Oryzias latipes: one gene and its partner. The protein of the gene in region 2 interacts with the protein of the main gene of each other region in a pairwise test. Links are inferred from orthologs where the notes say so. Each region holds a gene or a part of one and is shown on either strand. Other genes may lie near its edges.

Region 1 (3,819 bases), on a different chromosome or scaffold from region 2:
CACTCTTCTGCATCCGGCCGTCTTTTGAGTCTTCTGACAGACCGAGTCGCCATTTCTCTGAAACCAGCAGATCATTTCCTACGAGGCATGGGAGGCTGGCCTCCAGGCTGGGGTTTTAACTGCTGCTGCTGCTGCTGCCTCCTCACCTGGGCCAGGATTTCCTGAATCTTCCTCTGGGCAAGCTGAACCACAAAAAAAAAAAAAAGGTTAGGCACAGTTTTAATCAAACACCTAAAAGCATGTCTTTTTTTAAAGACTGCTCATCGGAATTCGCTTTTGGGTTGTGGGCGGGTCTGTTGGTGAAGAAACTCTGCAGTGATATATCCCAGAATGCTTTTGTTTACACTTAGCTCATCACCACACCAAGGTAACATTAGCATAACAAAAAAGGGTGAAAATTTCAGAGCCATCCAGCCGTACAGTTTTGAGCCAGATAGTAGAAAATGAAGACTTGCATGAATATAATCGTCTTCAAGTGGAAAACTAAAAAAAACATGGCTTTTCATTTGCACCCGCCTGATCATTACGATTTGAATTAAGAAAATCAGAAAGTTTTTTTTTTTAAATATCCTCCGTGAGAAAAATGCAATAGGAAAATATCAACAGAAAAACGCCATTTCCATTTGAGTGGGTCTTGAAATGGATTTTTCCTTTTTCATTTGTTTTTTGGTTTCAATTCAAGCGAAAACATTAAGGATGTTTTAACACTGAGCACTCATTCCACACCAGAATGTGTTAACCCAAATATCTAATTTGTTTTAAATCTCTGCTGACATTACACTGTAGTACTACTTAAGATGAACCTATAGGGGCGTCTTATTTTGAAAGGAAGTAATGTGAACCTCTGTCAAGTTATTGATAAACCACTTCAAATAATAATAAATAAATAAAAAACGACAATTTTCTCCATTTTTAGTGTCTTATTTGTCTATAGGGTGAAGTCAGACTTTGTGGCTCCTACTGGGTTGTGGTCAGTGAGAACTTAACCAGAATGGCTCCTTAAGTATTGAAGGTTGCAGACCCCTGCTGTAAAGCAAAGTGACATTTAAGCTGTTGATTACAGGTGCAGAAATAGAGGCCAACAAATCTGAGGAACCATGAACCACAAAGTTTGGAAAATAGCTGGGTGGTGAGCATGATGTGACGAGTTGCAGGCGATTATCAGTAAATGGCAGCTTAAACTGTTCAGTTTTTTGGAAAGGGCTCAATTTAAGGAATACCAACCGCAAACTAGTAGTCGTTATAACGTTGAGGATTTCAGGGAGTTTAGTTCATTCAAATAAGAGACGATCAATTTCATTTTTTGTGCACATTTAAACAGTCAACTACCTAAATGCGAAAGCATGATGTCTGACAAAATGTGTCCCACTTATTAAACATTTTTTATTCAAAATAAGATGAACCCGTTTGTAAGCTTTGATTTAATGACACACCTGACATGCAAAGAAGTGCCCACTGATCTTTACGATGACCTGGTCGTTCTCGTCAGGCGTCTGGTCCCTGGGCACCACCACTTCTGCACATGTCAAGTTCTGCAGCTCATTGACCTGTAACAAAGAGCAATTTATCCTCTGAAAAAGTCTCAGGATTTGTAGATTTACCAGGGGGGTTTGCAGAATCAGTCCTTTCATTACCGTCTTTCCACCTTTTCCAATGACTCTTCCGGCAGCAAAAGAAGGAACCTTGATGTGGGCCTCCAGCTTTACCTCTTCTTTGGGTCCAAAGAAATTCTCTTCCTTCAATTTTCCAAAGATGCGACACTGGGCCTATAAAGATTTGACCATTGTTGCCTTTTAGACATAGAACACTTCAGTTTTGTGACCATCCCCGTTTCAGGAGAATCCCAATTTTTTTCTTTGCCATTTAAAAAAGAAAGAAAAAAAAAGCTCTAATATGATCAAATTTTTATTTTAAAAAGGTGAACATGAAGCTTCAGAACCTTAAATTGAGCTTCTGGTGGTCCAACGATAATGACCATCCTCTGCTTGGCATCCATTCCTTCTGCAGGAGCAATCTGAAAGCAGGAAAAGCACATCAGTAAAGAGCTGCTCCAACCAAACCTTTTAAGTCCTCCCCCCTAACCAGACAAGAGGCAGGTGGAGTAATCCCATCCCTCCTTCACCATCTGTCAGGTACTCACCTTGATGGAGGCTCCTGCAAAGTGAGACAGCTGTTTAATGTGTTGACCCTGTTTGCCAATGATGGCTCCCACTGCAAGCGCAGGAATGAACAGGTGAACCGTCTCCGACTCCGGCTGTCCCTGCTGGGTACAAAACACTGCATTACTGCCCCAACCAGATGACAGCTGCACAGTGGTAGCAGACCATCTACTCCGCTCCAGCACTGGTGTGTCAACAAAACAGCAAATTGAGTAAAAGCTGCTCGCTTCCTAAAACTTCATTGATTAATTACCCCCTCATGTGAGTATGAAGGAAGTGATCATTTCATTTCTGAAGCAAAGGTTTGTGTTAATGCATTCTAAAAAGAGATGCATTGATTATGTTGCATGCAATTTATAATGGAATTTCAATGACTCAATAAAGACAAAATACAATTGTGCGTCATTACAAAACTGAAGCTTGCCGTTGCAAAGACCCACTCCGGTGCATTTCTGAGTATTAAAATTCTTCTGAATCAAGAGTAGACAAAGAATTAAAAAAAAAAGCCATTTGAAAGTTTGTAGGCGTGACGTAGAACCCCACCCCCCCCCCAAGCTCCCTGCTGTGCTCCATTCTGATGTATCAGCTTGCAGACAAATAGATCCATGGACACCTTTGTTTTCCTTGTCTGAGCTGGAATCTGGATCAAAACTGTACAGCTGGATAGCTGCAATATTGATTACCATTTTTGTTACACTGGTAGTGTTAACAAGGCTGTGAGGGGCTGTAAGCTAGCCGGAGAGAGTGTAGACAAAGGAATGATGAAAAAGGGGGAAAGCTTACTCAGCGGCAACAGTCCCGCCCACAAGTCAGAGGCTAATTTGTAGTGAAATACCACTGCTCTCAGACAACAGGGTTTCAGATTTTTGCTTAAAACCATATAATCATAATTTAAAGACCACTGGTAGCACTTTAAAATAGATTTTTTGAAATGACAGGAGTGGGACTTTACAGGGTTAAAATCTCTAATAAAATGAGCAAATGAAATAAATGCATAAAAATACAACACCCGATAAAAAAAAAATAAGAGCTGCAGAAGCACAGACATCCAGAAATTTACAATTTATCCACTTTTCAGCAAAACAGCCTTGAAGAATAAAATAAAATTAAAAAAGTCCTCAACTCCAAAGATTTTTAACCTAAAATTGTTCAATTTTGCTTTTTTTCCTGGTAAAACATCTGTCTGGCTTTCGTAAAAACTCAGTAAACAACTAAAGAGATTTTCCCCATTTAACTTTGCGTGGTCACCACCAACACCCATGGGTCAAGCAGATCAAATACAGAAAAGCTTTATGAATTATTCCATACTGCAGAAGTAAGGCATGCTGTTAGGCAAAAGGTAATATCAGGGTTTTTCCAATGCCACCAATTACTGCTCTGCAAGAAGCTGTGGGACAAAATAATGTTAGAGTGACCAATTAAAAGACTAAGAGCTCTAAAAAAGCTTTAGGAGCAAAAAAAATAAAGAAAATCCAGAAAAAGGAGGGCTTTTGCAGCAGATCCTGCAGCAGCAGACTTGAGCCGTGCAAAGCACTTTGGGACAGGTGACTTACAGCGAGGGGCTGGCTGCTCGCCGAAAGCATAGAAGCCCAAAATGGCCCCTCAGTCGCATAAAGACTGCACTAGAAGGAAAAGGAAACATGAAACGGAGTCTACTTCA
Region 2 (4,455 bases):
ACCTGGGACACACTCAGCTGGCACTCTGACACGGAGCGCACCTTTGGCAGCTCCACAGTCAGCTCCACGCTGCGGGGAACTCCTGCTGCATCACTCTTCACCCCGAGGTGGTACTCGGGCCTCTCAGGCTCCACAATAGTGGAGGAAACTACTTGGATCAGATCCTTTTTTTTGCACTCCTCATATCCGAAAGGAATTTGGGTTGTGGAGTTCTCGTCACGCTTCTCTGATTGGAGAGAGTAGATCTGCTTAAGAAGGGCAGCTGGATTTTGGCAGGCTGAAAAAAAAAAAAGAGAAACTGCTGAGAGGTGACAGATCATGCACCTTCACAGGAAAGACACATTGGGTACAACATAAAAGGCCTTAGGGGCTTAGCACTGCTAAAAGCTTCTCTCTTTTACCTGTTTCTGGCTGTTTGGGGAGGTTGGACTGCATTCGTAACCCCAGTCGACGGTGCAAATCATCTGAGCGACTCTTGGGGCTGCAGCTGACAACAGTGTACTCCTGAGATAACCGCATTCCATGCCGCTGCTGGGCAAAGCTCAGGGCCACAGTGTACACCTTGTTAATGTCTGGTACATCCTTCGTCCCCCGTAGTGCTGCAGGATTAAATGCCACATCCAGGACAGCATACCAGCCTGCAGAGGAACAATGGGAGCGTCTCGTTTTGGCTGGTGCAACACAAAGAAACGGTCTGTGGCTCACCTTGACCTTCTTTTGTCCCCGTTTCCAGTCTTCCTGCACACATTGGGAGTGGACCGTTCAGATCCTGATGCTCAGGCACAGTTTCCCAGCTGCATATGTTAATGTACAGCAAGCCTGTTTGTGGTTCCTGAGAGGCACACAGCTGTACTGTTCAGAAACTGTCACAACACACCATGTGTCATTGCTATAAATTGACACAGCCTGACAGGTTTACAGAAAAAAAAAAAATCATGAAAGGTATTCTAATAAGCACCAAAGAAAGATGAAACAGCTGGGCACTTTGTCAACCCAACAATAGTTTCAAAAAACTTTATTGAAGACTCCAGAGGTGCAGAAAATCTGTAGATTTCTCTAAAAGTAGACATTTTTTATTAGATTCAGTTTTGTTGCTACAGTTGAAGTGAGCACATGAGGAGAATAGTGAGGATACAGTTAAAATGAAGGACGGTTGATTTGCAATGGCAACCCCAAGAAGGAGCTACCGAAAAGACAAAGAAATAAATGTAAGCACATGCTGCAATATAACATATCATAAAACTGATTTATTATTATTACTATTACTATTATTATTATTATAAAACCCCTTGACGTCCTTTGATGTACATATGCAAACCAGTTTGGCTCCAAAATTACCTTATTTACTTCATAGCAAAAACACAAGTGATTTTTTTTCCTTAACAGCCATAAAGATGTTAATTATTCAAACAAACTTTGCTCTAGAACATATTCTTTATTTAACCTTTATAAGCAGAGCTTAACATGTTTAATTTTTTATTTTAAACAATAAAAAAAATAAGAAGAAGCAGTTACATTTATTTAGTTTCATACCTCAAAGAATAGGTAGGTTGCACCCCTCTCTTTTCTCATTTTTATTTATCTATGATTGAGTCTTTTTACTTTTAACTAAGCTGTACTGGGCCATTCTTCACATTATTTAATTATTTGTACCATATTATTTCAAAAAAAGATATCATAGATTATCTCTCCTCGGAGAGACAGTAAATAAAAAGGTGTTTCTTTGATTTGAATTGTGGTAATTTAGTTTTTAGTTTCTTGCTTTGGCACATTTAAAACACGGCAAGAAAAACATTAAAATACAATTAAATGCAGTGCAGGGAGAGACAAAAAAAAACATAAAAGGCTTATTTAAAGTCTCCACCTAGTGTAACTCACAAATATAGAGCATACATAGGAGAAAAAGACAAATAATAAGTCACAAATACTAAAATAAGTTTGATAATAAAGAAAAAATAGTAACAATAAAATCCAATGAGTTCATATGTGACCAGTGCTGTAAATGTGATAGATGTGTGTGTTCTCGTTAGTTTATTTCTAAGTACAAAAACTTACTTTTACATAAACTCTGACTTAATTCTACACAGAGTATTGTTACTGTAATTTAATCGTTACATGATCAGTCACTTTGTTTGGTATAAATAATACTCCATTGTGGAGTGTAGCATCTCATTTTACTTCTACTTTAGTATTAATTGTTTTTGTAATGAGTTATTTTTTGTGCATTCTTCTCTGTTAGTCATCAATATCTACTGAAATGGAACAATGTTTATTGCATAAAAATTGAATAACTCATCAGTTTGCAACATCTATCAGTCAGATGTGTTCTGTCAATGAGACTCTTTGTTTTATTTTGAAAAAACTTGCGTATGCATGCTTAAAGTAACTAGTTAATCTGTTTAGCACGTGTCACTAGACTTACCAGTATTTGGGTGCACACAGTGGAGTGGAGCACTGGTTGCAGCCTCTGTTTACCTCCTGTCTTCAAATCTTCGGTAAGTTTACGGTAAGCTGCAGGGTCATTCTCACTTAGGTCGTCAAGCATGGACCAAAACTGTTTGATCTGTCCTAAAACTTCGGTATTGCAACCGGAAGTCATCCTGACAGGTTTGTTTGCCGCTAGCTAGGTTAGCAAGTTTAGAGAAAGCAAATAAGTCCTTCGTTCGTCTCTAAAGTAAATAACTTATGGCTTTAGAAAACAAAAATTATTATAAATCTAACACAAACGAAGCAATATTATATTTCTTTACAGATGAAAAGAAATTAAATCAAACCTTTGACAAATATCGACATTCAGGCAATAGGTAAAGTAGTTTGGCTTCCAGTTGCCATGGAAACTCGATTTGTTGAACATTATTGCCACCTAGCGATAAAACGTGTAACTGCAGGGTAAAAATCAGACAAGGCTGTGTTCAAGAGGCTTTAATGTAGTCAAAACGTGAAAAATATGACAAAAAATGCTCTTATTTCCACACTGTCTTATTAAACAATATATCAATGACATTTAAAGCATAAAAATATATTATATAAGCATATGTTTCTGATAAAATATCGGTGGCCTTCCTTTGCTCTCATGTCTTGCTCCTTTCTCAGTAATTCTGTTGAGAGAGAGAGTGATCATTAGCAATCAGTGTAAACTTCAATTACGCTTCATTGAGCAGTTTTTTTTCCTCCTTTGTGCTGATGATATAAAAGGAATGATAATGGCTGTGCACGAGGACTGTAATTACAGATTAACAAAGCGATGTAGAGTTATCATTTTTAGGTCATTATTCAATTGATAAAATACTTACAGAAATAAACTGACATGGAAAAAGCATGATTGTGCAGCTAGACTCATCAATGGAGAGCTAGTTTTGATCAGTTTACCGTGCAATAATCAATGATTTTGGAGTTATTAATCAGCTGATTTGCATTTGCATTGGAAGTGTGGTAAAAATATAGGTTACATATAAATATTATTCCATTATCAGGTTAAAGAAAAAGCCTTTACCTCAATCATCTCATAAATCCAGCTCAGGAATTCAGCCACCTTGGTGTAAACCCCCGGATGGTTTGGCTCAGCGCATCCCGTACCCCAGCTGACAACCCCGACCAGCCTCCATACAGTATCTTCCTGGCAAACCAGAGGACCCCCGCTGTCTCCCTACAGAAGTAAACACACAAACCCATCAGCAAAACTGTAAGGAATCAAGACAGAATGCAAACATGCAAACAGCCATCTGACCTGACACGCATCCACCTTTCCTTCTGTGTATCCCGCACAAAGCATCCGCGGCGTGATCTCTCCATTGTACATGCAGGAGCTGTTGCACTTCTTAGTGCTTATCAAAGGCACCGGCGCTTCTTTCAGGGTGTCAGGTGACTGAACTGAGAAGAGAAGGAGACGTTAAAGGCTGATGCATTTGTCACTCTCCTGTTACCTTATTGGAATTGAGACCTGGGGCAGCACTGTCTCACCATCATCAGGCTTTGTGTATCCCCATCCAGAAATCCAGCATTGTGTTCCACCTGGCAGATCATACTTATACTGAGGTAGGCAGATGGGCCTGATTGTGTCTAGTCAGGATTAAAAGCAATAAACCAGTCTGACAGGAATTCATTTCAATGTTTCGAGTGAAGAAACCCTTTTTTTCCTGTCAGGTTAACCTGTGAAGTTGAGCGGTGTCCGCAGCTTTATCAGCGCTATATCGCTGTCATGGGTCCTGTGGTTGTAGTTCTTGTTGTAGATGATCTTCTCCACTGCGTGTCCCGTGTGTTGAACCATTTTAGCCGAGCTGCGGGTCACGATGCCCGCATAGACCACCCAGCTGGACACCTGAGGTAGCCTGTAGCTGACATTTGCAGAAAGAAAACAGAAGGCAGACAGTGATAAGAGGGAACGTTTCCAGCGTTGCACAGCTGTTAATGACTGATTGAAGCCCTGGATCTCTGACCTATAATGCTGGAGAGGTC

The links.
Region 1: the proteins of pih1d2 (region 2) and igf2bp3 interact in a two-hybrid assay, tested with the Homo sapiens proteins (2 studies listed by BioGRID and IntAct). The two-hybrid records come from large-scale screens. The link is inferred for Oryzias latipes from reciprocal best matches to the Homo sapiens genes PIH1D2 and IGF2BP3.

The regions. Positions count from the first base shown.
Region 1 is NC_019869.2:10,805,873-10,809,691, reverse strand, and holds part of igf2bp3 (insulin-like growth factor 2 mRNA-binding protein 3), read right to left. Parts: intron 3,782-3,819; coding exon 3,713-3,781; intron 2,264-3,712; coding exon 2,141-2,263; intron 2,015-2,140; coding exon 1,940-2,014; intron 1,767-1,939; coding exon 1,635-1,766; intron 1,548-1,634; coding exon 1,434-1,547; intron 183-1,433; coding exon 72-182; 3' UTR 1-71. UniProt on the Homo sapiens protein: RNA-binding factor that may recruit target transcripts to cytoplasmic protein-RNA complexes (mRNPs). This transcript 'caging' into mRNPs allows mRNA transport and transient storage.
Region 2 is NC_019871.2:11,415,959-11,420,413, forward strand, and holds the start of pih1d2 (PIH1 domain-containing protein 2), read right to left. Parts: upstream 2,836-4,455; 5' UTR 2,775-2,835; exon of another isoform or gene 2,624-2,774; 5' UTR 2,600-2,623; coding exon 2,423-2,599; exon of another isoform or gene 2,408-2,422; intron 833-2,407; coding exon 706-832; intron 639-705; coding exon 402-638; intron 278-401; coding exon 3-277; intron 1-2. Other genes in the region: tmprss5 (transmembrane protease serine 5), read right to left, coding at 3,090-3,098, 3,494-3,646, 3,728-3,870, 3,961-4,059, 4,150-4,334.